Linked DNA regions of Oryctolagus cuniculus. The protein of the gene in region 5 interacts with the protein of the main gene of each other region in a pairwise test. Links are inferred from orthologs where the notes say so. Each region holds a gene or a part of one and is shown on either strand. Other genes may lie near its edges. The genes, in order: NDUFV2, MEOX2, NMNAT1, TRIM39, CCNC, KRT13 and PNMA5.

The links.
Region 1: the proteins of CCNC (region 5) and NDUFV2 interact in binary tests that used the Homo sapiens proteins (3 or more experiments, as listed by UniProt). The link is inferred for Oryctolagus cuniculus from reciprocal best matches to the Homo sapiens genes CCNC and NDUFV2.
Region 2: the proteins of CCNC (region 5) and MEOX2 interact in binary tests that used the Homo sapiens proteins (3 or more experiments, as listed by UniProt). The two-hybrid records come from large-scale screens. The link is inferred for Oryctolagus cuniculus from reciprocal best matches to the Homo sapiens genes CCNC and MEOX2.
Region 3: the proteins of CCNC (region 5) and NMNAT1 interact in binary tests that used the Homo sapiens proteins (3 or more experiments, as listed by UniProt). The two-hybrid records come from large-scale screens. The link is inferred for Oryctolagus cuniculus from reciprocal best matches to the Homo sapiens genes CCNC and NMNAT1.
Region 4: the proteins of CCNC (region 5) and TRIM39 interact in binary tests that used the Homo sapiens proteins (3 or more experiments, as listed by UniProt). The two-hybrid records come from large-scale screens. The link is inferred for Oryctolagus cuniculus from reciprocal best matches to the Homo sapiens genes CCNC and TRIM39.
Region 6: the proteins of CCNC (region 5) and KRT13 interact in a two-hybrid assay, tested with the Homo sapiens proteins (2 studies listed by BioGRID and IntAct). The two-hybrid records come from large-scale screens. The link is inferred for Oryctolagus cuniculus from reciprocal best matches to the Homo sapiens genes CCNC and KRT13.
Region 7: the proteins of CCNC (region 5) and PNMA5 interact in binary tests that used the Homo sapiens proteins (3 or more experiments, as listed by UniProt). The two-hybrid records come from large-scale screens. The link is inferred for Oryctolagus cuniculus from reciprocal best matches to the Homo sapiens genes CCNC and PNMA5.

The regions. Positions count from the first base shown.
Region 1 is NC_091441.1:66,330,970-66,335,091, reverse strand, and holds the start of NDUFV2 (NADH dehydrogenase [ubiquinone] flavoprotein 2, mitochondrial), read right to left. Parts: upstream 2,801-4,122; 5' UTR 2,633-2,800; coding exon 2,579-2,632; intron 1-2,578.
Region 2 is NC_091447.1:7,289,576-7,293,725, forward strand, and holds the start of MEOX2 (homeobox protein MOX-2), read right to left. Parts: upstream 2,801-4,150; 5' UTR 2,513-2,800; coding exon 1,999-2,512; intron 1-1,998. UniProt on the Homo sapiens protein: Mesodermal transcription factor that plays a key role in somitogenesis and somitogenesis and limb muscle differentiation. Required during limb development for normal appendicular muscle formation and for the normal regulation of myogenic genes.
Region 3 is NC_091438.1:158,230,093-158,234,153, forward strand, and holds the start of NMNAT1 (nicotinamide/nicotinic acid mononucleotide adenylyltransferase 1), read right to left. Parts: upstream 2,801-4,061; 5' UTR 2,650-2,800; exon of another isoform or gene 2,500-2,649; intron 1,442-2,499; 5' UTR 1,393-1,441; coding exon 1,335-1,392; intron 1-1,334.
Region 4 is NC_091436.1:139,956,086-139,959,585, reverse strand, and holds part of TRIM39 (E3 ubiquitin-protein ligase TRIM39), read left to right. Parts: intron 1-2,912; coding exon 2,913-3,143; intron 3,144-3,500.
Region 5 is NC_091436.1:72,164,563-72,168,062, reverse strand, and holds part of CCNC (cyclin-C), read right to left. Parts: intron 2,867-3,500; coding exon 2,782-2,866; intron 2,630-2,781; coding exon 2,560-2,629; intron 1-2,559. UniProt on the Homo sapiens protein: Component of the Mediator complex, a coactivator involved in regulated gene transcription of nearly all RNA polymerase II-dependent genes.
Region 6 is NC_091448.1:21,121,509-21,125,594, reverse strand, and holds the start of KRT13 (keratin, type I cytoskeletal 13), read right to left. Parts: upstream 2,801-4,086; 5' UTR 2,722-2,800; coding exon 2,251-2,721; intron 1,309-2,250; coding exon 1,226-1,308; intron 1,086-1,225; coding exon 929-1,085; intron 748-928; coding exon 586-747; intron 492-585; coding exon 366-491; intron 269-365; coding exon 48-268; intron 1-47.
Region 7 is NC_091453.1:131,406,284-131,410,454, reverse strand, and holds the start of PNMA5 (paraneoplastic antigen-like protein 5), read left to right. Parts: upstream 1-1,371; 5' UTR 1,372-1,499; intron 1,500-3,695; 5' UTR 3,696-3,837; intron 3,838-4,171.

The DNA.
Region 1 (4,122 bases), on a different chromosome or scaffold from region 5:
CTAATCAATATTAACAAAAAACCATGGGCCATTACTGAACGAAATAAGCCTATTCTGAGTACCTGGCCCTCCATAATGCATAATATTTAGTCAGTTCTTACCATTGTCCAATCAGGTTATCCTATTTTACAGAAAAGAAAAATTAGGCTCAGAGACATTAAGAAATACAGCTCAAGGTCACACAACTAGTACTAAGTTCTGAGAATCTTTTTAAGCAACGTTGAGCTTAAAAAGCCTATGGCTGAAGACTGGCAAATGGCTAAAAAAGCAGAAATCATAACAGAATGGACAATTTCTTTGAAAAATGCCAAGGTTTTTCAAAGGTTTCTCTGCTAAGAAAGCCAACTTTCCTGGTTAGACCTTGTACTTCTCCTGCTCTTTGCTCGTCCATTCTTACATCCACAACCTGTGGGATGCTATGCAGGATTAAAACAAGAGCACACAAGTAGTGTTTACTGATGAGATAGCTGCTCAAAATATATTATGGAAAAAGGACTACAAAACACTATGAATAGTACCTTGCAATATTTGTAAAAATGGGAAAAAAAGGAAATCTCTAAGATCTGTTCACTGTGGTCACTAAAACATTAACAACGGTACTCTCTACGTTTTTTGTGCTTAACGTACTTGCTGTTGTTTTTCCCGCAATGCACTACTTGCATAATACAAAAATTAAACAACTCACATGGTGGGCATAGACTATACACAACGTACTCTTTGAAAACAAAGCTGAGAAACGTGAAACTTGATTAAAATTTTCCTCTATTACCTAAACTTGTTCTTTCTCATTATCGACTTTTTTCAGTTTTTATCTCTAACCTCTCTGCTTCAAAGATAAAACAAAAACAAATCTCTATGTAGACATATTTGCATCTCCTCTACTGGGAGACAAGGTCTGAGTCTCACCTCATTTAGACCTGACAAGGTCTGCAAGAGCCTCTATTCAGCGCCCCCTGCTCTGCTTGCAACCAAACCCAGCCCCAGCTCAGTGGCACTCAGTGCTCTGCCCAGAACAGAAACCTGACCATATCCCTCTACTCCTCTAAAGCGTTTCAGACTCCTCACTGCCTCTAAGATAAAGACAAATTTTTTAGCAGGGCACGCGAGGGGCTTCAAAATCTGGCCCCCACCCTGCTCTTATTTCATCCGGGAACACACTGAAGTTCCAACAGCAGGGTTGGCTTCTCACACACCAATCTTTTTCTGGCCATTACTGATAGTCTTTTTATGTTGTCTTTCTACCTCAAATATCTCTGCTGCCATCCCCAACCTTAGAACTACCTCCAGGGACAAAATCCCATCTTCAAACCAAACTGGATGGCCCTATTTGGATCTCTAACACTGTACTTTTATACTGTTATCATATTTATCTTAAAGTCTCTCTTACAAAAGACTATCAATTCCACAAGAACAGGGATTGTTTAACTGTAGCATGAGGAAAAAAACAGTACCAACCTCAAAAGTAAGATGCAGAACACAGACATGTAAGGACGGGCTTGGCACAGAAAATACTCACCGAAGTTACCTATGATTATCACTAGCCACACCACTGCCTGGAGCCCAGCAGCGCATACCCCACAGTAGGACCTCAAAAGTTTACTCAGCGTCCAAACGCTGCAAGTGGAATATTTTATTCCCTTTCGACAACTGAGGGAGACCAGCAGCTCAAGGTCGTAGAGCTACAAAAGGCCGAGACGCGCCATCCAGACTCCGTTCTAAGGCACACTACCTCCCTTTCACTGAGGGCTGACTCAATCTCACTATCTTACTGCTAGAAACACACCAACCAACCCAAGGCCTCTTCCGCTCCAGTAAGTGCCGCTTCTGGAATCTGCGTTTTTTAAGTTAACGCGAATGCATGCTTCAACCTCTCTGCGAGTCCTTTTCTACAAAATGTACTTGGATTTCAAGACCGTAAACATCCTGCGATTCTTTAGTTGTGATACTGTTCCTTCACACTATGGGACTGTTCCTGGAGCATCTCCCATATGCAAAGCACAACTGCAGTAAACGAAGCAATGCCTTCATTTACTTGCGATCTCAGGAAACTCAGGAAGCTTTCACCAAGCCAGCCAGAGTTTTCTCCAGTGCGCTGCAGCCTCCCAGCAATGCAGTCACCTGGCCTGACATGCAAGGTGCCTGCTCCTTCGGAGACGAAGGTCTTAAGGACACATCTGAACGACGCAGGGGAACCTTAAGTTCCGCGCTAGAGCGCAATCTCAAAAAAAAAAAAAAAAAAAAAAAAAAAAAAAAAAAAAGGAAAGAAAGCAAAAGAAAAGAGGTCACCGAGCGGCCCCTCCTTCCTATCCTCCGTGACCAAATTAGGCATACACATCCCTGCCTGGCGGGGGAGGCCACGCACCCGCCGCAGCCACAGGGGCCGACCCTCCCTAGAGGCGCCTCACTCGCCGTGGAGCTGCAGCGGCCTCCCTGAGCAGAGGGCGAAGGCCGCAGTGTCCTTGCCTCCGCTTCCTGGCCCCTCCAGCGCCCAGGGTTCTCCTCTGCCCAAAACTAAGGGAGGCACGGAGAGCGGGAGACGGGAGGCTGCAGTGCCCGGGCTCGTCCCAAGCCTCCTTACCCACTGGGCGGTGAAGCCAGACGCCCGGGCCCGGAGCGCTGCAGAGAAGAACATGGCGGGCCAAACCGTTCGGCTTTCCCTGGCCGCGCAAGGCCAGAATCCCGAGCGTGCCCCGGACGCACGGCGTGCGCGTCCCCGAGTCAGGCTTGGGCGCTAGGAGCGTGTACTACACCTCTCTCTACGCCAAGGGCGGCGGCCCACGGGAGCGCGCGCGGGCGCGCGGAGGCTGCTGGGGCCCAGTGGGCGGAGACCTCCGGGGGCGGGGCGGGACGAAGACCCACCCGGACCCTACAAGGCGGCGTTCCGCCCGCGGTGGCTGGGGTCCCAGCCTTGAAAGGAAGCGTTCGCGAGTGGCTCCCTGGGCTCTTCGAAAATGAAGCATTGACCTGGATTTATGTGGTGAGCTTCTCTCTTGGAGAACCTCGTGAGGGTTAACCACCGTTTCTTGTGTTGCAGTTACTTAAGAAAAATAATAACGTTACAGCCCATTTATAAATTTATAAATCTCATTGTACGAATTATGGAAGTCAAGACACAGAGTGACGCTCCCCGACGAGGTAGGCTTAGATACCAAATGCCTTGTTGGTTCCAGTTCCTTTGCTTTAGAGATGTATATCGGCATTTTTAGGAGTCAGATATTATGTCTGGAATTTGCTTCAGCGTCTTGGGGAATAGAAGGTAAAAACGGAGCAAGATTAGCCTTGAATGATGACTGGTAGATCCTGTTCCTAGTCTCCGTTGTTTTCTATGTATCAGAAATTTTCCGTAATAAAACTTAAAAAAAAAAAAAAAGCCACACTTCCTTCTTGATGTTTGTTTGGTCATTTCTGGAAATTCCAGCCAAGTGTTTACTCGGTAAGGGCTATAGCATGCACAGCCCCATTTCCTGCTATGGAGAGTCTGCAAGACACCTTCTACCTCTAATTTTCCCTTCACTGCCTTCACGTCCTGAACCCACCCCTTCCATTTACTCGTTTTCTTTGCTATAATAAATTTGTGAATAGTTTCTGGAATTTTCACAGCAGCACAGGGATTTTAAAAGAGAAAGATATTCTGCCCCTCAATGTCGATTTAAATTATTTTATTATAAAGCCACACACACACACACACACATATATATATACACTCAACACTGTGATCCATGTTATACACATAATTGCTCATACAGTTCTTACCTAAAACCAAAACATCTCAGAAATTCAAACAAGCTTAAAAATGGATAAGACTGACTGATTTGGCATGGATCATTTGAATCTGGTATCCATGTCTTTGCTGGATTTTATTAGGGCCTTCTCTGACCTCCCAGTCCACATTAGCCCATAAGAAACCAAAATGCACTTGCCTCAACTTTTGTTACTGCACTAAGTAATAAACTCCCTGGCTGCAAAAACCTGCCACTCCCATCTTCTTTGTTTCAGCAACTTGCACTATACCGGGCATATGGAAGATAGTCAATAAATATGTGTTGACTGAATGAAGAAAAAATTTTTGAATGAATGAAAATTTTGCATATTGTGCCTGCTTATCTAAAAGGGTTGTATGCC
Region 2 (4,150 bases), on a different chromosome or scaffold from region 5:
CCCACTCAAGCTGTAATCTATCAATACTTTATGCGGCTGACACAAACTTGCTTTTCATGGACCCTAAATATCAGCTTCAACATGTAAAAATGAATTTTACTTTGTTATATGGCTAATTTCTCATCCATGAGAGAGGAGCTAAGGAGCATTAAAGGAGGCCAATTTTTTTTTTTTTTAAGTTTCATTGAAACAATTCGTGGGCATCAGTTCTTGTATTCCACTTTCTCTATCTGTCCCAAACAAAATCACACTTGCCCTATGAAATTCGGATTTGCCCTAAGACACTCAGGGGTACTGGGCTGAGTCAGGACGCCTGAGGAGGGAGCCCATCATCCGGCTTCTCCCGCGGAGAGTGAGAAGGGCCGCTCACTCAGAGCTTCTAGTTCTAGAAGGATGTTCTCATCAGCCCGAACCGCCTGAACTGCCACCGCTTCCACACCAACACTGATATCCAGCGCCCAGTCTGTGCAAGGGCCATTGCTGTCTAAAACTGGCCCTTGTTTATTTATTTATCTTTAAATAATGAAGATGAAAACCTTCTTGCTGGGATTAACCTTTCAACTGGTCTTAAGAGAGTTTCATTTGTAGTTAGTAAAACCCATTAAAAATGAGTGACATCGCTAGTAACTTTCTTAGATATTAACTAATTTGTGATGGGGCATTAATGGTCCACCCCTGACCCTGGAAAGTAAAAGTCGAAAGAAATCCAGCGCAGGCTAAACTGAAGAAAGATCGGTAGCATCGCTGCAAAGCAATTCCAACGCTCATTTCCATCTGCGTCCTTTATGTGGCCTAAAGCTTTACAGGAGATAGACATCTGCCAACTCTTTCAACCCACGGCTGAGATTATCTTCTGGGACTATAGACATCAATTTCGCAAAAGAAACACACGCTAAGTGTTCTATTGCGCAAATGACATCTTCCTAAAACACGAAGGAACCCAGGGTCACAACTCCCCTTCAGTGAAAAATCCTCTGAACAATTTCATCACAATGCAGGCAGGTAAGGGCTTTGCAGACCTGCCTCTGTGGTTAGATTTCCCGGGCAAGCTGCGCGTTCCGGCGCTCCCAGGGCTGTTAGGTTCCGGGCACGCAGACGAACGCCTGGTGGGTGCCCCGTTGCGCGTATCACTTTGAGCAGACAGCACTGGACCTGCCCTTGGATTCCCAGTTTTTGTCGTATTGCACTCATTGAGAGAGGAGTTGATCTTCCACCCTGAAACCTCTTCGATTCTCCCTTTGCATTGGTATCATACGAATACTACTAACTACTCCTAACAATCGTCTTTCTCCAATACTTTTCGTCATCTATTTGTTTAAAAATTTCTGACATGCTCCTTAAAAAAAAAAAAAAAAAAAAAAAAAAAACTTCTTAGACACTATCTTCCTTTCCCAAGAAAGGGAAGCATTTACCATTTAGAATAGGTTGCTATTTAAGGAATCCTGAAATCCAGAATAAATAAATAAATAACCTAAAACTTTTTTTTTTTCTCATACGCTCTGCCAAGTTCCATTCCAAGGTTCCAAATATTGTGCAACGATTTGGAAAGCCAGTTAACGATGGGAAAAAGCGAGCCATTCGGAGTCGGGAACATGCGAGGCAGAAGTCCGGGAGCCGCACCCGCACGCCCGCCCCACGGACACGCATCCCCAGGCGCACGCCCCTCCCGGCGCCGCGCCCGGCCGTCACGCCGCGCAATCGATTTCACAAACTGTCACTCGCTCCCCTTTGGTCTCAAACTTCTGGAGAAGTAGTTTGGGACCTTGGGAAGCCTAGAGCTGCCGCTGCTGGCTGCGTGTAGGTTGCGCACAAGGGTAACACTCCCCTCGCCCCCCCAAGTAACTGGGACCACAGCCGCATCTCCCAAACCTGCGCGGGCTGGACACTGCCCCAGCTTTTGCTGTGCCCCGCTGCAGCCTCCAGCGCTTGCAAACTGCCGCCCTGGCCCGACCCAGCTGCGTCTGCACTCCGGCCGAGGGTCCTTGGCGCGCACCTTACCTGAGCTGTCGCTTTTCCTCTTGCCCCCGCTTCGCTTCTCCACCTCCGCGGGTGACAGCGTCTGACGACCGTAGTCCCCCGGCGCGCAAGCGGCCCCAGTCGGGGTGCTGGAGCCCAGGCTGGAGGAGTTGGAGCACAGGACCGGCGGGCTGCTGCCCAGTTCCGGGGGCCCTCCGGAGTCCGGCTGCAGGCAGAGGCTGTGGCGCGCCGCGCTGGGCGGGGAGGACATCTGCGGGAGGTGCCAGTTGGTTTGCAGCGCCTGGTGCTGTTGCTGCTGGTGGTGGTGGTGGTGGTGATGGTGGTGGTGGTGGTGGCCCCGGTGGTGCTGGCTGGCGAACATGCCCTCTTCGTTGGGGTATCCCGCGATGATGCACGAGGACGACGAAGTGGAGAGCTCCGGGTAGGACATGTGGTCGGATCTCCCGTGCAGGGCGAGCGACGACTGAGAGAACGGGTGCAAGCCTTGCGCCGTGGCGTGCGGGCTGCGCAGGCAGCCAAAGAGCGGGTGTTCCATAGCATGCAAGTCGCGGGCTCCAGGCGGGAAGACTTCAAGACGACCGCACCAACGCTGGCACCACCAGCCTGCGGGCGCTTCTCCGTGGCAATCGTGTGGCTTCCCCCGCACCCTACGCCGCCCCTGTGTCCCCAGGCCAGAGCCGCGCGGGCTTTCCGGCAGCGCTCGTGTAATCCCTGTCCTAAACCCTCGGGCCGGTCTCCTTCACATATAAACACTGGGACCCAGAGGAGCTTCCCTCCGAGCGACTCGGATGTCAAGAGTGGGAGCGGTCGAAGCCAAAAGAAGGTGGTCCCAGAGAACTATACGCCTGGGGGGTGGGGTGGGGGGGGGAGGAAGGGCTCTGGGAGGTTATAAATAGAGTGTAACGTGAGCCGGGGGCTGGCTTAGGAGCCTGGCGCTGACCACATGCGAGCTCCTCCAGCGCGCCCGCTCAGTCTGCGCCCCGCGCTCCCAGCCCCGCTTCCCACTGCCGGCTGGACAGTCCTTCCGCGTGTCCCCGCCCGCCCGGCCCTGCCAGCAGCCCCGGGCTGCAAGCCGCGCACCAGGCGCCGGGATCCCGCCAGTCCCGGCTCCGCACCCACCCCCCAGCCCCTACCCGCGCACCATGACTTGTCAGTGCCATTTGGAAACTGTCACCCGCAGGAAAGCTTAGGGGTGCGCCCAACCCCTGGGGGAGTGAGCGCGGCTGAAAAGGGCAGAGCAGAGCCAAGTCTAGCGCACGCTGCGAGAAGTTTCTCAGACTTCGCTCGCTGCGTGCGCCCCGGGGCACAAGGCGCGCCCGGCTTTTTGCCGCCGAGGTGTGTGCGCCGGCCGGGCACCGGGCTCTGGGGTAGGGTCCAGGTGCGGAGTTGCGCAGCGCGACCCGCAAGTGGGCAGCGCTCGAGACCGAATGGACCGGGACTGGGTGCGGTGAGCCGGCGGAAAGTGCGCGGAAGCCCGCGCCCAGGCATCCCGACGTGAGCCGCCTACTGGTGCCCTGCCTTGGCGTCCCGCCCCCTGACCGTCACAGCGAAACTGGTCCCACTCCATTTCCCAGCCACCAGTCCATCTAGAGCAAGCTGTCCTGGGCCGGGAAGATTCTGAAGAGAGTTTGTCCCTGTCACATGCCACGTGCGGATTTGCACGCGTGCTCCCAGCCTCGCCCCCTCCTCCCCCAGGAGGCAACCCAGGGCCCTTGATTTTCCTCCAGAACCCCACCGCCTCTCTCCCGCTCCCACACAAACCAGCTCCTTCCACACACTCCTCCTCACTGCGCTATGGTGCCACTGATTGGGAAACCGAACACTCTGATGCGTGCCATCGGCGCTTGGGCGTTTCGGGTTTGCATCCCGCAAACAGGAAAGCATAAGTTTGGAGTCCCTGAGCGCATGCGGGCCGCTGGCTCTGTCCCGGGGGCGCACCGGGCCGCGGGGCAGCCGGCTCCCAGCTGGGCCGGTGCCGTCAGGAGCGCGCGTGCCCTCACTGCTCCCGGCCGTGCCACCAGCGGTGTTGCCCCGTTATTTTCATTGTCTCAGGTGTCCCGAGGATGGGGACCAGGTCTTTGAAGTTGTTCCTGAGATTAATGGGCACAGCAGACGGGGCTGGACATCTGGTTCGAATTAGGGGCGAGTACTGAGCCATCTCTGGGCGGTGTCC
Region 3 (4,061 bases), on a different chromosome or scaffold from region 5:
CTCTGACCCAACTTCCTGTTACTGTACCTGAGAAGGCAACAGAAGATGGCCCAGGTGCTTGGGCCCCTGCTACCCATGCGGAAGACCTGATGGCCTTCCTGGCTCCTTGCTTCAACCTGTCCAGCATGGCTGGCCGTTGTAGCTCCTTGGGGAGCCAAGCAGCAGATGGAAGATCTCTCTCTTTCTCTTTCTCTTTCTCTCTCTCTCTCCCCCCACACCCCACCTTTCAAATCAATCAATCAATCAACAAAAACAACAGAGGTCCCAGAGTTCAGAGAGCCTTTGGCTAACAGTACTTCTTGTTAGTCACTCAAGTTTCCCCTGCCCCAGCATTCTCTCTACCTTGTTACAGCAGTTTGCATTCCCCGGGCTCCCATCCCAAGTCCAAGCAAGTTAAATGTCCTAAACGCCAGCTGCTAAGCAGGATGTATCCGATTTCCTAGTAATGACTCCCAACTCCACTTGCGTCTCTGCCACCCTCGTGGGAGAACCAGACTGAGTTCCTGGCTCCTCAGTCCTGCCTCCTATGACCACATAGCATAGCATTCCTCCTTCTCCAACCTCTTCTGTCTCACATTTGAAGGCTTGGAAAATTGGAAACCAAACCAATTTCTTACTTAAGCACTAGAAATACTCATTATCCATTCAACCTTAAAAAAACAACCCTAGTATGTAAGAACATCCAACAACACAGACCCACTGATCAGCTAAGAAAAAAGAACATGAGGTAAATACAGGGCGTACGTGGTAAGGCCTCTTCTCCACAGCTTTCACGACTACATAAAGTGAGCACAAGGTGGCTGGCTCGGGCGCAGCAGGCGATTTGCGGCTTGGGACGCCCAGTCCCACACACGAGTACCTCGGTTTGAGACTTGGCTCTGCTTGAAATTCCAGCTTCCTGCCAGTGTGCACCTTGGGAGGCAGCAAGCGAGAGCGACTGGGTTCCCGCTACCCACGTGGGAGAGTGGACTGAGCTCACAGCTCTGCGACAGGCGGGAACATTTCCACCCAGCACAGCATCAGCCAGCACAGCATCAGCTGCCGTGGGCAGCCGGGGAGTGGACGAGTGGACAACAGATCTCTGCCTTTCAAATAAATGAAGCTGAAAAACCAGCACAAATGCCTAAATCGAATTCCACATTATCGTCATCAACATTAGGGAAGCACATGGTGAGAAAGTGCTTACTCAGCAAATTCTCTCAATGGTTCCCGTGTTTTCCAGTTCTGTTTGGCAGTAGAGTCACTGAGTTCCATTTTACCGTAAACATTGATACTTTCCCTCATGTTAACCTACCAAAATTAAATATAATCACATTGATGTAACAGGCACTTACTTTTACAAAGGAATTCTTTGAATCTGAAGTGTTTTGTAAGGTAGGCTACTGGAATCATTCCAACCAGTGTGTCACCATTCTCTAAAAAAGCAGCTTCGTGTTTAATTCTGAAGAAAAAAAAAAAAAAAGCCTAGTGATAAGAAATTCTGTGATCAGACACAGGTGACAGAGCAATTCCTTCTGGTAGAGTTCTATGACCATCAACATTGGAAGTCTGTCCTGGGCAGCAGAAATCTAACTTCAGTGACCAGACCTCTGAAATGACGATGTCTCCGATGTCCCGTGGACTGCTGGTTCTTCAGAAGGGGGGGGGGACAGAAGTGTCCACGCAGGACAGGATTTGGCACAGGGGTTAGGATGAAACTTGGGATGCCTGTATCCCATAGCAGAGTGCCTGCGTTAGAGTCCCAGCTCCACTTCTCTTTTCTTTCCTTCCCTCCCTTCATCCCTCCCTCCTTTCTACTTTTCTTTCTCTTCCTTTTTTTTTTTTTTTTTAATTTATTTATCTGAAAGACAGAGTTAGAGAGAGGCAGAGGCAGAGAGATTAGTCTTCCATCTGCTGGTTGACTCCCCAAATGGCCACAACAGCCCAAGTTGGGCTCATTCTGAACCTAGAAGCCAGGAGCTTCTTCCAGGTCTCCCATGTGGGTGCAGGGGCCCAAGCACTTGGGCCATCTTCCACTGCTTCCCCAGGCCATATTAGAGAGCTGGATCGGAAGTGGAGCAGCCGGGACTCGAACCCGCGGCCACATGGGCTCCACTTCTGATTCCGGCTTCCTGCCTGGGTGCTCCCGGGGACTCCAGCACTGGAGTCCTTGTCACCCAGGAGGGAGACCGGGATTGAGTTCCCAGGCTCCTGGCTTCAGACGGGACCAGCCCCGACTATCGTAGGAATCTGGGGGGTGACGCGAAGGGAGTTCTCCGGCTCTTTGCCTTTCAAATAATGTTAGGAAACACTGGAAGGAATGTTTCCAAAAGCCATCTCCTTCCCAGGAAGCGAGGGGCCAATCGGCTTCCAGGAAAGTGGATCCACTCTGCCACGGACTTGGGAAAGGGCAGGCGTTGAAGACGAAGACTTTCCCTCGGTCGCCTCAGCGCCAACCCTCAAAAACCCTCGCGTGACGTCACCCGCTGCGAACGTCAGAGGCAAATTTCCGAGGTTTTTGGTTCCTCGAGGAAGAAGTAAAGGTGAACGTGACCTTGCCTCAGGACCGCAGTACCCGACCCTAGACGTCCACACCAGCTCGGGCTGGCCACCGAGTCCTGGCTGACACCACTGCGCAGGGGCTGCGGGCGGGGGGAACCACTGACTCACCCACTGCCACGGACGCCACGCGGCGCGGACCCGGGCGAAGGCGGAACCCCGCGGCCGCACCCCCATTGGCTCCCGGGGACCGGAAGTGGTACGTCGGGAGGAAGTGCTCCCTCCCGCGCGGTCGGGCTCGTGTGGCCCGCAGGTAGGCGGGGCTCCTGGCTCCCGGCTCGGGAACCGGGCCCTGGCGGGAGGCGAGAGGGGACCCCGGGGGTCCGGGAGGAGCTCTGGGTTCTCCTCAGAGAGGACCGGAAGGCGCGTCGGGGGCGGCGGGTCACGGCGACCCCTGGGGGCAGCCGGGGCCTGGTGGGGCCGGGCCGCCGCCGGAGCTCCGTGCCGGGGTTCTCCGGTTCCCGGGCGGGGATGGGATTCACTCCCGCACGGCCGTGGTCGGGTGCCGCTGGCTGCCCGCGGGGAAGAGGTGTGCCCTCCGCCCTCCCCTGTTCCGCGCGCGTCCGGTGGCGGGGTCTTCCACCACGACGGCCTGGGGAGGCTGCGCGGGGCGCGGCGTGGTGGTCGGCGCCCCGGCCCTGGCGTCCTCGGTCGCGGGCCGTGTCCGGCCAGGTCCCTGGAGTAAGTGAAGCGCCTTGCTAATGCTTTCCCCTTCCCCAGCCGCCGCCACGCCTGCGGGGTTTGAACCTTGAGCCTCTGGTCCTGATGAGATTGCGCCTTCTCCAAGTTGATGACACTCGGAGCTGCGGGCGCCGGAAGGTGGTGCGGTCCGAGAGCGGTCAGCGCGGCGCTGCGAGGCAGGCGAGCGTGAACCGGACTCCAGGATACCGCCCAGGACCTGAGCCGCGGCTCTGCCTTCCGGACACCTGCCTCACCGGCAGGGAATACTAGGTGAGGCGGGCGAGTTAGTCTCTCCGGGAGAAATCAGCGTTTAATGCCAGGGGTTTAAGCTTTTCTTTCTTTCTTTCTTTCTTTTTTTTCTTTTTTTTTTAAGATTTATTTACTTATTTGAAAGTCAGAGTTACACAAAGAGAGGAGCGGCAGAGAGAGAGAAAGAGAGAGAGATCTGCTATTCACTGGTTCACTCCCCAGTTGGCCGCAACGGGCGGAGCTGTGCCGATCCAAAGCCAGGAGCCAGGAGAATCTTCCGGGTCTCCCACGCGGGTGCAGGGGCCCAAGGTCCTGGGCCATCCCCTACTGCTTTCCCAGGCCATAGCAGAGAGCTGGATTGGAAGTGGAACAGCCGGGACTCAAACCAGCGCCCTTATGGGATGCCGGCACTGCAGGCGGTGGCCTTACCTGCTATGCCACAGCGCCGGCCCCCATGCTTTATTTTTAAAAAAGATTTATTTAAAAGAGTTAGAGAGAGGAAGAGACAGAGAGCTCTTCCATCCGTTGGTTCACTCCCCAAATGGCCATAGCAGCCAGGGCTGGGCCAGGCTGAAGCCAGGAGCCAGGAGCTT
Region 4 (3,500 bases), about 68 Mb from region 5:
AAACCAGAACTGTAGTGTTATTTATTTTGAACTTTTTTTTAAAGCTTTTTATTTATTTGAAAGAGTGACAGAGGAGGAGAGACCCAAAGAGAGAGCGAGCGAGCGAGAGTGAGAGAGTGTCCATGACCTCTTCCATCCGCTGATTCACTCCCCTAATGCTCACAACAGCTGGGGCATGGGCCAGGTGAAAGGCAAGAGCCAGGAACTCCATCTGGGTGAGGGACCCAAATACTTAGGCCATCATCTGCTCTCTCTCAGAATGCACATTAGCAGGGAGCTGGACCAGAAGTAGAGGCAAGTGCTTCCATCCCAGGGACTCCCATGTGGGATGCTGGAATCTCCAGGTGGCAGCTAAACCCACCTAGCTGTAATGCTGCCCGTTTTTTTAGATTGCAAACTATCGCCTCAATGGTCCTTGAAATGGCCACCAACATTGCTTTTGAGACCATTTAAATTCTGCCACCTTGTCCCTCAGCCCCACCCACCTCTTTGCCTCAGTCCTCTTTTCCAAAGTTTGTGGTTAACTGCTGAAATGAAAAATTATAAATAACCTATCTATGTAATTTTGAAGAAACTGACAAGTCCAAATATAATGTCATACAGCATAAAAGTAACTTATGATAAAATCTGGTGTGTACATATTTGGGGCAGGACTACCCAGGAGATCCTGTGGTGCAGTTATATACTTGAACCCATATGTGGCATCATCAGCAATGCAATAAATAGAAAATCTAGCCGGTGCCACGGCTCACTAGGCTAATCCTCCGCCTTGTGGCGCCAGCACACCGGGTTCTAGTCCCGGTCGGGGCACCGGATTCTGTCCCGGTTGCCCCTCTTCCAGGCCAGCTCTCTGCTGTGGCCAGGGAGTGCAGTGGAGGATGGCCCAAGTGCTTGGGCCCTGCACCCCATGGGAGACCAGGATAAGTACCTGGCTCCTGCCATCGGATCAGCGCGGTCATTGGAGGGTGAACCAACGGCAAAGGAAGACCTTTCTCTCTGTCTGTCTCTCTCACTGTCCACTCTGCCTGTCAAAAAATAAATATATATATATATAAAGAAAAAAAAAACCTCCTACTGCTAGACCCCACACTGAGTGTGGCCTGAGCAGCAGGATTTAAAAAAAAAAAAAAGAAAAAATCTGACCAGGCCCCCTAAGCAGCCAAGCTCTTGGTAACATGATTTTGCAAAATAATTACATTGCATAAAGTTCTAAGAACAGAATATAGTCTTAGTAAGTTGTATTTAGGGACCATAATTCCAGTGTATTAAACTGTGCTAAGAATTACTCTGTGAAATACAAAAATGATGTTCAAGTCCAAGCCTGCATTTTTTACACACACAAAAATATTTCCATTAAAGGACAATACATTGAAAATGGTACAAGACAGGTCACTGTGCAGGGTTGTCTCACACACTGAAGGAGTGCCAGCAGCCTTGCCACAAGTGCCCAGTGCAGGTGTTGTGGCATAGCAGGTTAGCCTGCCACCTGGAACAATGTGCCCGGGAGGCAGCAGGTGGTGACCCAAGTACTTAGGTTCCTGCTACTCAGGTGGGAGACCCTGATGAAGTTGCTGATTCTGGCTTTGACCTGGCCTCCTAGCCTCAGCTGTGACAGGCGTCTGGAGAGAGAACCAGCTTCATTTAATTCTCTGTGTCTCCCTCCCTCTCTGTCACTCTGCCCTCTTTTATTAAAAATTCTCCCATTTCCAAAATGCATTCACGGAAATAACAGCTCATTAAGAACAAATATGGAGTAAACAAGGAGAAGGGGTTATGAGTTTCTAATAAGGGGAGCCTTTTTGCTTCCTGTGTTCCGTGGTCATGAATCCTGAACATCTACCCATATGTCACCCCTACGCTCACACATGCCGACACGCATGCATGCCGTCAGAGCAAATGAGAAAGGACATTCAGCTGCAGCGTGCACCTGCGCAGGCAGCCGTGGAAGCACATAGGTAGTCAGCCTCTGCCGGAAACTGCGTGGACATCAGACGTGCCAGGCTTGTGAAGCCCACCCTGGCGTTCGTCCCCCCTCCTCCACTTAGCCCTGCCTTCAGGCCCTGTCCACTTCCTCTTTCCACAGGCCCAATCTGGCTGCCCACTTTGCTTGGCTCTTGGGTTGGTACCTCCCCCCAGTCACAGGACACTCGGTGCATACTCTTGTGAATACACAGAAGAGAGGATTGCTGATAACCCTTGCAAAGTGCCGTGGCTGGTGTTTGAGGATGATACCAAATTTCAGGAATGCTAGAGGTGTACTTGCATGTGCCGGTGTAGAGAAAGCAACTAATTCACCAACTTTTGGAACCTGTTCCAGGACGGGAACTGCCAATTCTTTGAAATGAATCGAAACTGTTTAACAGGTTTAGCCCTGAAATCTGCATCTGTATTTCATAACCTCTCATTATTAAACTTGCTGATTCTGATACTTTTCCGATTGATTTTCTGGTTTTTTTTTTTCCTCTTAAATGCCTTGCAATATACAAATGATGACAATTTAGCTTTCCAGGATTTGTTCCTTCATGTTCTTGACGAGAAATTCAGCAGTTGGGGGTAGCAGAAATATCTCTAATATCTATAATAGCAGACATTGTCATATTGAGTACTTATGTGAATATATTTTAGTAAAACATAAAAGTACTACTATTTTAGATCATGAAGAAAATGAAAATACTTTTAAACGTTGATTTTTTTTAACCTCCCCATGTTTTTCACTGTCAAGTTTTCAGTGGGCGTGGCAGGGATGGAGTCATTCTTTCCAGAAGGAAATTGCACCCAAGAGAAAGAGGGGTGTCCTGTGTAATGGTTGTCAGTGACTCTGGAAGTCTCTGCTGAGGTGCACACATGGTGGGCAAGGGGCCTCCCCCTGCCCTGCCAGCCCTGCTGACATAGCGTCTTCCCTCTCTCCCTAGAGACTGGTGGAGAGTCGCCGGCAGCAGATCCTGCGGGAGTTTGAAGAGCTGCACAGGCGGCTGGATGAGGAGCAGCAGATGCTGTTTGCACGACTGGAGGAGGAGGAACAGGACATTCTCCAGCGACTACGAGAAAATGCTGCTCACCTTGGGGACAAGCGCCGGGACCTCGCCCACCTGGCTGCAGAGGTGGAGGGCAAGTGCTTACAGTCGGGCTTCGAGATGCTTAAGGTTCGACCGTTGCCCCTGCATAGCCCCTCAGGTCGTGCACAGTATAGCTTCGCACAGCCAGTATGTCAGCCTGGGAGGCTCGCTCTTCCACTCTGCTTCCCTAGATCCAGTCTTTCCTTCCAGACATACAAGGATCTCTTCCTACAGAAAGTCCTCTGATCTCTCCCATCCTTTCTAATCATGGTCTTATGTCCTGTCAACAATTATGTACTTAATTTGTACCCAAGGGGGAAAAAAATCACTTTTTGAAAGGACAAAAGTCATAGTCTGAATAAGTTAAAAAAAAAAAAAAAAAACTATGCATTAGAAATTTTGTGAAACCAGTTACTTTTAAGTCCTGGATTTTGAATCACCTAG
Region 5 (3,500 bases):
GCGCAGCAGGTTAAAGCCCAGGCCTGAAGCGCCAGCATCTCATATGGGCGTCAGTTCTAGTCCCGGTTGTTCCTCTTCTGATCCAGCTATCTGCTATGGCCTGGGAAAGCAGTAGAAGATGGCCCAAGTCCTTGGGCCCCTGCACCCACATGGGAGATCCAGAAGAAACTCCTGGCTTCGGGCTCCTGCCTTCGGATTGGCTCAGCTCCAGCCATTGAGGCTATCTGGGGAATGAACCAGCAGATGCAAGACCTCTCTGTCTCTACCTCTCTCCGTGACTCTGTCTTTCAAATAAATAAGTAAGATAAATCTCTCAAAAAAATTCAATAATGAAAAAAACAACAAAATATCTAAATTAATCTATAAAGCTTATAGATGTTTAATAAGGTTTTGTTGGTATCAACAAATTGGTATCAAATACTGGTTGTGCTTGATATATAAAAATAGCCGTTACATGGCAATATTTGTAAAAAATAGACCCATATTAAAATTGTTTTATAAACATTTTCTTTTCCATTAAAGAACTTAACAGGGGCCAGCACTGTGGCATAGTAAATTAAGCCTCTGCCTGCATCCCTGCATCCCATATGGGTGCTGGTTCAAGTCCCAGCTGTTGCACTTCCAATCCAGCTCCCTGCTGATGGCCTGGGAAAGCAGTGGAAGACAGTCCAAGCACCAGGGCCCCTGCACCCAGGTGGGAGACCTAGAGGAAGTTCCTGGTTCCTGGCTTCAGATTGGCCCAGCTCTTGCTATTGCAGCCATTTGGAGAGCAAACCAAGGCATGGTATAACTGTCTATAATTCTGCCTCTCAAATAAATAAATAAATCTTTAAAAAAAAAAAGAACTTAACAAAGTCAGTTCTGCCTCCTTAAACTACCTCTAAAATTGAAAAATATTAAATCACTAAAACGTTTTCCTTAGTATTCTTTCTAATAGGGTCAATTCTCATTCTTGAGATAATAGTTGGGAGAAATGTCAGTGATAATCCTAAACAATAGCTAAAACAAAGCTAAATCAAAATGAGTACCAAAAAAAAAAATAACAATAGGCTAAAATAATATTCAGATGGGTTGGCGTTGTGGCAAGTTAAGCTACCACCTGCAACACTGGCATCCCACATTGGAATGCCAGTTTGTATACTGGCTGTTCCACTTCCAATCTAATTACCTGCTAATGTGACTGGGAAAGCAGTGGAAGATGGCCCAAGTGCTTGAGTCCCTGCCATCCATGTGGGAGACCCAGATGGAATTCCTGGCTCCTGACTTAGGTCTGACCCAACCTAGATCTTTTCAGCCACTTAGGGACTAAACCATCAGTTGGATGGCCCCGCTCTCTCACCTTGTCACTGCCTTTCAAATAATAAATCTTAAAAAAAAACCATAATATTCAAGAATATCATTACTATTATAAAGATATCTAAAAACAGAAACACAGTACAAAGGCTTTGTAATACTGAAGACTGATGAATTGGGGGCTGGAACTGTGGCATAGTGGGTAAAGCTGCCGCCTGCAGTGCCAGCATCCCATATGGACGTCGGTTCAAGATCCAGCTGCTCCACTTCCTATCCAGTTCTCTGCTATGGCCTAGGAAAGCAGCAGAAGATGGCCCAAGTCCTTGGGCCCCTGCACCCACATGGGAGGCCCAGAAGAAGCTCTTGGTTCATGGCTTCAGATCAGTGCAGCTCCGCCCATTGTGGCTATCTGAAGAGTGAACCAGCGGATGGAAGACCTCTCTCTCTCTGGTTACTCTTTCAAATAAATATATAAAAATCTTAAAAAAAAAAAAAAAACCTGAATGGATTAAAAAAACAGTTGATATCTGCTACTACTGTCTGGATTTTTGCAGAAAAGATAAATAGGGTAAGCAAAAATTCAGTCTCAGCTCTAAGTGCCTATGTTTCTTCTCTCCCTCACCTGAATTTTCTATTTCATCTGATTTTTATTTGATAGAATCTGTATAGCTGTAGCCTCTCCTAATCATTGCCATTCCTTTGTTTTCCTGATGGCTTGGTAGGCAGCCAATCACCACAAGGAAAGGAGGGAAGACAGTAGCAATAAGCATATGCGAAGGAGAGACACTCTTAGGTTATAGGAAACAAGCTAGGGCATTTATTGAATTCTACTTGTACAAAACAATTAAAAATCTTAAAGGCTGCAGAAAAAAAAAATAAGAAAATAGGAGTAGGAACTAGACTCTCACAGTTCAAAATACTAGCTCTGCGACTTACCAGTTGTACAAATACAGGCAAGTTCTTAATCTCTTTGTGCCTCAGTTCCTTCATTTATAAAGTAGGAACTCTACTATCACATATTCCATTTTTTATGAGGATTAAGTCAGTTAATACTTGTAAAAAGATTTACAAAAGCACTTGGTACTCTGTTAAGAGCCATATAAGCCCTTAAAAAATAAATACACAAATTTATGTATGTATTTCTTTGATTTTTGTGTCATTTTTGTATTTTGCTTAAATTATCATCTACTACTATCTTTAAATAAGTAATGTGACAACTGGGGCAGATTAACCAATATTGATGAAAATCAGAAAATTGTTTTATACCTCTACTTTGGATGCCAAAAACACACATGTAGGAGCCATTAATACAGGATCTATACTTTTCAGAGAATACCTAAAAATATCATAAAACAAAGTTAAGTGTCACTCATTGAAAAACACACTAAAGAAAAAATATCAAGTTAACTCTACCGCACACACGATTCATCAACATTAAATAAGAGTTTTTAAGACATCTAGTATATTCCCAAAATAAAACAGTCCTACCTGGCATAGAATCTCTTGAAATAGACCGTAGCAGTGGCAATAACTTGTTGTCTTAATTTAAGATGCTCACCTAATGCTTGGATAACTAAAAGGGAAATAGTAAAATTTTAAGTATATCTTCTGGTATCATTATTAATCTTGAACATGACTATACTCATTTTTAACAAAGGGAAAAAACCTACACATGCTATAAAGCTCCATTTGGCTCTCAGTGGTTTAGTGCAAGGATTTGCAAATTTATACAAAAATACATATATAAGCATAATGAACAAAAAGAGAGGAAAAGAAATTGCCCAAAACAAAATATATTCTTATATTAAGGAGACTGAATGATAGATACTTCCCTTCTATCTTGTAAATATTTTAATGCTTTTCATATTATCTTTACAATAAATATAAAAAGAAAATGTTCAATAAACTATAAAACTCATTCTAGCTACTACTTTATACAATTTATCAAAAAAAAAAAAAAAACCCATAATGAATCCTCAAAACAGTGAGGTAGGTTTACAGAAAAGTGAACTGAGACAAAGATCATGAGACAAAGCTATAGCACCTGTCAGTGTAAAGGTCTTTCAACTCCAAATCCCCTTTCCTACAAAGCTAGTTCTAAGATAGGAGAGACCACTATATAATATTCAACTAAAGAATTATTTACTCTCCAAGTACTTTGCTTTAGCCAAGCTTAAACTGAGTTTGATAACGAATGATAGGGAGTG
Region 6 (4,086 bases), on a different chromosome or scaffold from region 5:
GTCCGACACCCCCAGGCCGTGCAGGGAGACCGGCGGCGAGGACCTACTTGGCGTCCTGGCCCTCGAGCAGGCTGCGGTAGGTGGCGATCTCCTGCTCCAGCCGCGTCTTGATGTCCAGCAGCATCTTGTACTCCTGGTTCTGGCACTCCATCTCACTGCGCAGCTCGCTCAGCTGGGCCTCGATGCTGCTGATGACCCCCTGGATCTGCTGCAGCTGCAGGGCGTAGCGGCACTCCGTCTCCGCCACCGTGCTCTCCAACCCGGCTTTCTGCAGGGGGGCAACGGGGAAGAAGTGAGATGGGGGTGGCCGAGCCCGAGGCAGCGCTGGAGGTGGCGGCTGTGGGCGGGGGGCAGCGGCTGGGTACCATGCTCAGCTGAGACTGCAGCTCGATCTCCAGGCCTTGGAGCGTGCGCCTGAGCTCCGTGATTTCTGTCTTGCTGGTCTGGATCATGGCGGTGCTGGAAGACACTTCCTTGTTCAGCTCGGCACTCTGAAATGCAGGCAGGAAGATGGTGATGGAGGAGCCCACCTAGAAGCCCCCCGAGCTGGGGAGGCCGCGCCCTGCCTGCACCACCAGCTGCTACCTTGCTGTTGAACCATTCCTCGGCGTCCCGCCGGTTCTTCTCTGCCAAGGCCTCGTACTGCGCCCTCATCTCTGCCAGCACGCGGGTCAGGTCGATGCCCGGGGTGGCGTCCATCTCCACGTTGACCTGGCCCACCACCTGGTTGCTGAACTCCTTCATCTCCTGTGGGGGTGGGAAAGGAAGCTGCATGAAGCTCCTCCCTCTCCTTGGCTCTCAAGGCCGGCAGAATGTTCTGGAAAGTGCTCCCAGGTCCCCCAGTGGGCAGCCGCGTGCAGCTGCAGCAGAGGGCTCGCCTTTCTCCCAGAAGCCCTTGAGCCACAACGGGCCGGCCACCCCCTCGCACCTCCTCGTGGTTCTTCTTCAGGTAGGCCAGTTCTTCAGTCAGGCTCTCGATCTGCATCTCCAGGTCGGCCTTGGTCAGGGTCAGCTCGTCCAGCACCCTGCGCAGCCCGTTGATGTCGGCCTCCACACTCTGGCGCAGGGCCAGCTCGTTCTCATACCTGCAATATTTTAAAAAAACTTTTTAAAAAAAATGATGAGTGACTCCGCCATCCCTGCAGGAGGCTCAGCGGCTCTGCCACAGCTTTCACCCCAGGCTTGCTCCAATGCTGGGAAGCCGACGTTCGCGACGTGAACTCACTTGAGCCTGAAGTCGTCGGCAGCCAGCCTGGCGTTGTCAATCTCCAGGATGACCCGGTTGTTGTCGATGGTGGCGGCCAGGATCTGCGGGAGAGGGGAGCAGGTGACCTCCACGGGGGCAGGGGCCTGGGAGCAGCCTGCTGGGCTGCTGTGCCTGGGGCCCTGCCTCCTCAGCCCCCCTTCTCTGATACACCCTGCATCTGGTCAGGACCGGGAAGCCCCAGCCTAAGCATTTCGCAGGAATGAGCCCCCCGGGACTTTCTCAACAGCCTCAGCCCAGCAACCTCACCGTCAGCCCCTGTCTGTCTCGAGAACCTTCTCTGGTAAAAAGGGGCCTCGCAGGACTCCTGTTTTCCCTGCTGACTCCACTGAGCCTGGCCTCCCAGCTGAGCGTAGGGGATCTCCGACATCAATCCCACCCGTCAGAATTTCTCGTCCGAACATGTGTGTTCCAAGCATTGGAAACCCAACCCTGCAGAGCCGGGACTTGGCCGAGCTGGTGGGTGTCCTAAGAAGCAGGTGTCGCAACATGATGGACAGGCCCCACGGAGGACATCCGGGCTCAGGGCCACCTACGCCTCTGCCTCCCTCTCCCCAACCTGACCGACCCCCCGTTGAGAAGCCCCATTTAAGCGGGGCTCCTGCAAAATAAACAACTAGTCCCAGAGCGATGCACGAACATGTCTGTCTCTGTGGATTTTAGTACCTGTGTGGTTTTTACAGCTGTCACATTTCCAAATAGCTCTGTGAGTTAGGGTTGCAGAGATCAGCTTTCTAATAGCATAACTGGCAAGCAATGTTTGTTTGTTTGTTTGTTTGTTTTTTAAGGACAGCAGTAGTAGTGACAAGAAAATGAAAGCGAGGAGCTGTGGTGGGGAGTGACAGATTAAAAGTTTCCCCCGCAGGGAGGCTGTGACTCCCCCCAGCACCTGCCCCTCGGAAGGAAGGGAGGCCAGGACTGCAGTGGCCTTGCCTTCAGGGCTCTGCCCTGCCCTGGGGAGCCCTGCCCGGCACCCGGGGGCTCACCTTGTCCCGGAGCTCCTCAATGGTCTTGTAGTATTGGCTGTAGTCGCGCTCCGGGCTCGCTGGGCTCTGCTTCAGGTGCCAGTCCCGGATCTTCACCTCCAGGTCGGCATTGGCCTCTTCCAGGGCGCGCACCTTGTCCAGGTAGGAGGCCAGGCGGTCGTTGAGGTTCTGCATGGTGATCTTCTCATTGCCGGAGAGGAGGCCGCCGTCGGCACCGCCAAAGTCACCAAAGCCACCGCCAAAACCTCCACCAAAGCCACCTCCAAGACCAACTCCGAAGCCACCTCCAAAGCCACTACCAGCTCCAGCACCAAAGCTGCAGCCCACGCCGCTCCCGTAGCCCCCGGCTGAGCCTCCGGAGACAAACCGGGTAGAGCAAGTAGAGACGCTGCGGCCTCCTCCCAGCTGGCAGGAGCCACTCCCGAAGCCACCGCCGTAGCTGGTGGAGGAGCTCTGCAGGCGACAGCTCATGGTGCAGGCGAGAGCGGTGCTGGAGCAGGTGCAGGCAGGAGCTGGGCTTGGCCTGGGCCAAGGACGATGGCTCTGTCCCGGTCCAGACACCTTTTATACACCTGCGGAGGGGCTGGCCATCCTCTCTCCTCCCCTCCCCACCCTCTGACTTGGTGCCAACTTCCCTTCTTTTCTCACAAACCCAGTTACCTCTGCTCCCCAGGGAGGGTTGTGCCTTTTGGGGGTGGCTTTTTTTTTTTAATCCTTAACAAAAGAGATGATTCAGAGGGAACGGTGTTCTGCTTAAGACTCCCCTTTGAGAGTGAATCCTAGTTCACCTCTCCTCTAAGGAGCTCACTCCACAGGCTCTCGGCCCCACCCGGTTTTAGAACGGGGACTGAGCTGCAAACAGCTGCCGGCGAGCCTCGAAGGAAGAGGCGGCTGCCGGTGCCCTGTGCCTTGTGAGGCTCCGCAGCCCCCCACCTCCCTTCCTTCCAGCCCGAAGCTTCTGCACAGGGTGCTCTGTCTCCCTTCCAGCCCTCTGTCTACTGCAGCCCCGGCAGCGACTCTGAGGACAAACTCCACTGGTCCTGCAGAATCGGCTGCCTTGGGAGTGTTTAGTCTGAGATGGCTCCAATGCCATCAGAAAGAATCACAGTGACAAGGGACCTCGGGGGGCGGGGGGCTTAGGGAGCCAGCCAACGCAGCTGGGGAGAAGGAAGAGGCGAGGAAGAGGAAGGGACTCCACGCATCCTCGTAGCTGATGTTCTGAGAGCCCTTGCCCCGGGCAGCCGTGGGCCCAGCACTTGGCGTTCAGGGCCTCACAGACTCCTCCTGTGGCCGCTGTTTCACACGCAAGCAAACAGAGCCTTCAGGACGGAACCAGGACTGCACCCCAAACCTGGTCCCGTCTGACCCAAAGACCAGTTTTTGAGGTGTGTTTTCATGCAGTGAAATGTGCAGATCCTAGGTGTCCAGTTCAATGCATTTTTACCGGTGACCACCACACAGCACTTCCCAGCACCCGTCCATCTCCTGGCACCTTCCCCCAGTGACCCCCATGCCCCTGATGTCACCCTGAGACAGGTTGGTGGCCACAGCTGTGGAAGCTGCTGGGATGCAGAGCAGCGAGCAGGGGTGCGGCTGAACACCCCGCGACACACAGGACCGCCCCACGACGAAGACTCGTCAGGCCTGAGAGGCCAGCAGAGCCCAGTGGAGAGGCCCTGAATCCACCAGGCCTGTGGGTTTAATGCTTCATAGTAGGGCCAGCGTGGCGGTGCGGTGGGTTAAGCTGCTCCGTGTGACACCAGCACCTTAGAGCACCAGTCCTGGCTGCTCTGCTTCTAATCCAGCTCACTGCTAATGTACCCAAGAAAGCAGCAG
Region 7 (4,171 bases), on a different chromosome or scaffold from region 5:
TTTGTTTTTAAGGAAAGACTAGGGAGGAGCCAAGTCTAGCAGTGAGAAGTAGAATGAAGTACAGAGGTGCTCAGGACAGCTCTGCTCACAGCCTGTATGAGACTGGGCAGCTGGTGGTGTCATCCAGAGGGTGCTGTGGACTGCTGTAAGGAGAGCCGTCTGGTCTGTGACCACGTGGCAGCGCCAAGTAATCATTTTCTCCAGTAAGGAGAAGGAAATTAATTTAAGAGATAGTCCAAAGTATGTTCTTGTTAAGTACGCAGTATAGGGGTCTGGGTTACAGTGTCATGTCTCACCTAGGAAAAATTTTCAATTAAAGGAGAATAATGCAATATTTGTATGTATCTTACTTGGTGACATTTAGTTTTAAAAGTTTTCTGCTTTTCACATTTTCATTAAAATATGATTTTAAAAAAGGCCTGTTATTCGTACCAAATACAGCAAAACTTACGTTCTGTCAGCTTACAACTTCTGGCTCTGGTAATCTCAGAGCAGTGCTACACAAAGCATGGGCAGGGAACTGCAATAGCCGCTAGAGTTTTGGTACTTTTGCAGACTCTGAGCTCTGCCAAGACCTCCTGACTCACAACTTGAACCGCTACTATCACCTGCTCTGGGAAATGTGTGTGCACTTTGTAAACTGCTACCAGTGTCCCACCAGTGCCCTTTGCTGGGACAGGACTTTAGGGTCCCCAGTAGCCCCAAGGAAAACAGCTAAGTCTTCCCTCTGTGGAAGAAACCTGCTTTGGGAAAGAAAAGAGAGAAGTTTCGGTACCTCGTGGGTAATTCTCATGCAATCACGAGAATAATGAGAGAATGAAATCTTGATAGTTTCCTGTATCTCAATGAGCCTTGAAAATTGCATGCATTTGTAAAATGAAGGTAGTAGCTGTATTTTTTATTTTTTGCCGTCCCCTAGGACACAGTGGATAAAAATTAACAAGGACAGAGACGTTTGGTTAGTTAGTAGGTACCGAGCTTGTAGTTTGCACCTGGACCTATACTTTGCACATAGCCCTGTGTGCATAGCTTGGAATACACAAACAGGAGGAGCCACTGGTGAAAGTCAGAGCCAGTCCCAGTCCAATGGGTGAGAGACACCTATCATAGTAGCCGCAATGGTTGCTGGGACTGATGTGACAGGTGGTGGTCCTGTCGGCCTCTATTGAGCACGTACAAGCTGGACTGTGAGCAACTCTGCAACGCAACAGTTCTCAGTATGGTTTGAATTCTCTGTTCCCCCTCCAGTCATGACTCAGAGGAGAAACGTGCGGTGGACAGGGCACAACCCCTTTATTGCAGGAGTGGGGTGGAGGTGGAGATGGGGGTGGGCGTGGCCGTAGACGTTGCCGGGATGCATCTGCGAGTGGGCGGTGCTGAAGACCGTTGCTTACCCGACAATTTCTTTCCCGCCACAAACTCGCGGCTCATTCCGTACAGTGGCGGCGGCAGAGTGGCCACGCTGCACGGGCGCTGTGGCCTGGAGGCATTCCCAGAAGGTAAGGAGCTGGGTTTGGGCACAAAAGGGAACCAAGGTTACAACAGATTCCCTCCAATGATCCTGGTTGACCTCCATGAGGTCCCAGGGGCCAGTGGCCTTAGATTCCCCTGGAAGCAGAATCCTAGGGGTCCCTGATATTTCCAGTTATCATGAGTGGCCTCAGAACTTTAGGAGGGCCCATTCTACCCCAAACCTGCCCAGACGTAGCAGTAAGGACAACTGGTTCTGGCCCTTATCCTTGAGGGAAAGTGGCTTTGGCCATTCCTGTTCTAGCCTCTAGCTACCTCTGCTGACTAGATGTGTCCCTGCTCAGAGTAGTGGAAAGGGTGTGTGAGGTTAGGAGTGAATGGGACAGCCTGATGGGTACAGGAGGTTAAAGATAATGAGGTGGGGGAAAGGAGTACAGGGAAATGGAAGTGAGGAACTTGGGTGGGTGCAGGACGTGCACATGAATGGCGGAGTGTATGACACTCGGATGGACACAGAGTTTGGCGGTTCAGTGGCTCTTGGTGAAAGTGGCTTTTGGCGCCAGAAATGGCGCTTGCGCAAGACGCAGTTTGCCGGTTCAGTGGATCTTCAGAGGTTGGCTTTTGGCGCCAGGAATGGCGCTTGCGTGGACGCAGAGTTTGGCGCCAGAGGTGGGGCTTACGTGGACGCAGAGTTAGACGGCAGGGGTGGGGCTTGCGTGGACGCAGAGTGTTGCGCCGGGGTGGGACTTGCGTGGACGCAGAGTTTGACGGCAGGGGTGGGGCTTGCGTGGACGCAGAGTGTTGCGCCGGGGTGGGGCTTGCGTGGACGCAGAGTTTGACGGCAGAGGTGGGACTTGCATGGACGTAGAGTGTTGCACCAGAGATGGAACTTGCGTGGACGCAGAGTTTGACGGCAGGGGTGGGGCTTGCGTGGACGCAGAGTTTGGCACCAGAGGTGGGGCTTACGTGGACGCAGAGTTAGACGGCAGGGGTGGGGCTTGCGTGGACGCAGAGTGTTGCGCCGGGGTGGGACTTGCGTGGACGCAGAGTTTGACGGCAGGGGTGGGGCTTGCGTGGACGCAGAGTGTTGCGCCGGGGTGGGACTTGCGTGGACGCAGAGTTTGGCGCCAGAGGTGGGGCTTGCGTGGACGCAGAGTTTGACGGCAGGGGTGGAGCTTGTGTGGACGCAGAGTGTTGCGCCGGGGTGGGGCTTGCGTGGACGCAGAGTTTGACGGCAGAGGTGGGACTTGCATGGACGTAGAGTGTTGCACCAGAGATGGAACTTGCGTGGACGCAGAGTTTGACGGCAGGGGTGGGGCTTGCGTGGACGCAGATTAGACGGCAGGGGTGGGGCTTGCGTGGACGCAGATTAGACGGCAGAGGTGGGGCTTGCGTGGACGCAGAGTTTGACGGCAGAGGTGGGACTTGCATGGACGTAGAGTGTTGCACCAGAGATGGAGCTTGCATGGACGCAGAGTGTTGCGCCGGGGTGGGACTTGTGTGGACGCAGAGTTTGGCGCCAGAGGTGGGGCTTACGTGGACGCAGAGTTAGACGGCAGGGGTGGGGCTTGCATGGACGCAGAGTGTTGCGCCGGGGTGGGACTTGCGTGGACGCAGAGTTTGGCGCCAGAGGTGGGGCTTACGTGGACGCAGAGTTAGACGGCAGGGGTGGGGCTTGCGTGGACGCAGAGTGTTGCGCCGGGGTGGGACTTGCGTGGACGCAGAGTTTGACGGCAGGGGTGGGGCTTGCGTGGACACAGAGTGTTGCGCCGGGGTGGGGCTTGCGTGGACGCAGAGTTTGACGGCAGAGGTGGGACTTGCATGGACGTAGAGTGTTGCACCAGAGATGGAACTTGCGTGGACGCAGAGTTTGACGGCAGGGGTGGGGCTTGCGTGGACGCAGAGTTTGGCACCAGAGGTGGGGCTTACGTGGACGCAGAGTTAGACGGCAGGGGTGGGGCTTGCGTGGACGCAGAGTTTGGTGCAAGGAGTGGGGCTTGCGTGGACGCAGTTACATGGCAGGCGTGAGGCTTAGGTGGATGCAGAGCTTGGCCTTGGGGGTGTGGCTTGAGTGGAGGTGGGATTTGGGGCTTGGTGGGTGGGATTTTTCCCTGGGGGTGGAGCAGCAGTTTCTTGTATTCGTGAGCAGATTCAAAATTGGCACATCCTGAGCAGGGCATTTGGGACGTAACCACAGTGAAATACCTCTGCCTTGCTTTGGACAGATCCAGTGAAGGGATCCTGATCCATCTAACCTGGTTCGGGAACTGCCTGACAGGACAGAGCTGGAGAGCAAGCTGAGTGCCTGATTACATCAGAATCACAAACTCTACACGGCCAGTGGAATCCACACTGCCAAGTCGTCAAGTAAGTTATTTTGGAAGGTGAGCCTCTGTGACCCTGGCAAAGGACAAGGGGACAAAGGCTGCCTTCCAGGATCCACACACTCTGCAGGGTAGGGCCACACCTAGGGTGACAGTTGTCTGTTTCCTGCAGCGGGACAGTGGGAACCCTTCGTTGGGTCCCTTTTCTGCCCCTAATTCTAGCTGCTACACAATATGAAACCTTAAGCACTTGTTTTTTCAGCACTCAGTCCTTGCTGCTCACCTCACCCCCATCTCCCCTTCACTCTCCCAGCTCCCTTGCTGCTAGGACATTTCCATTGGCTGGAGGATAGTGACATCACCTGTTGCTCTTCAAG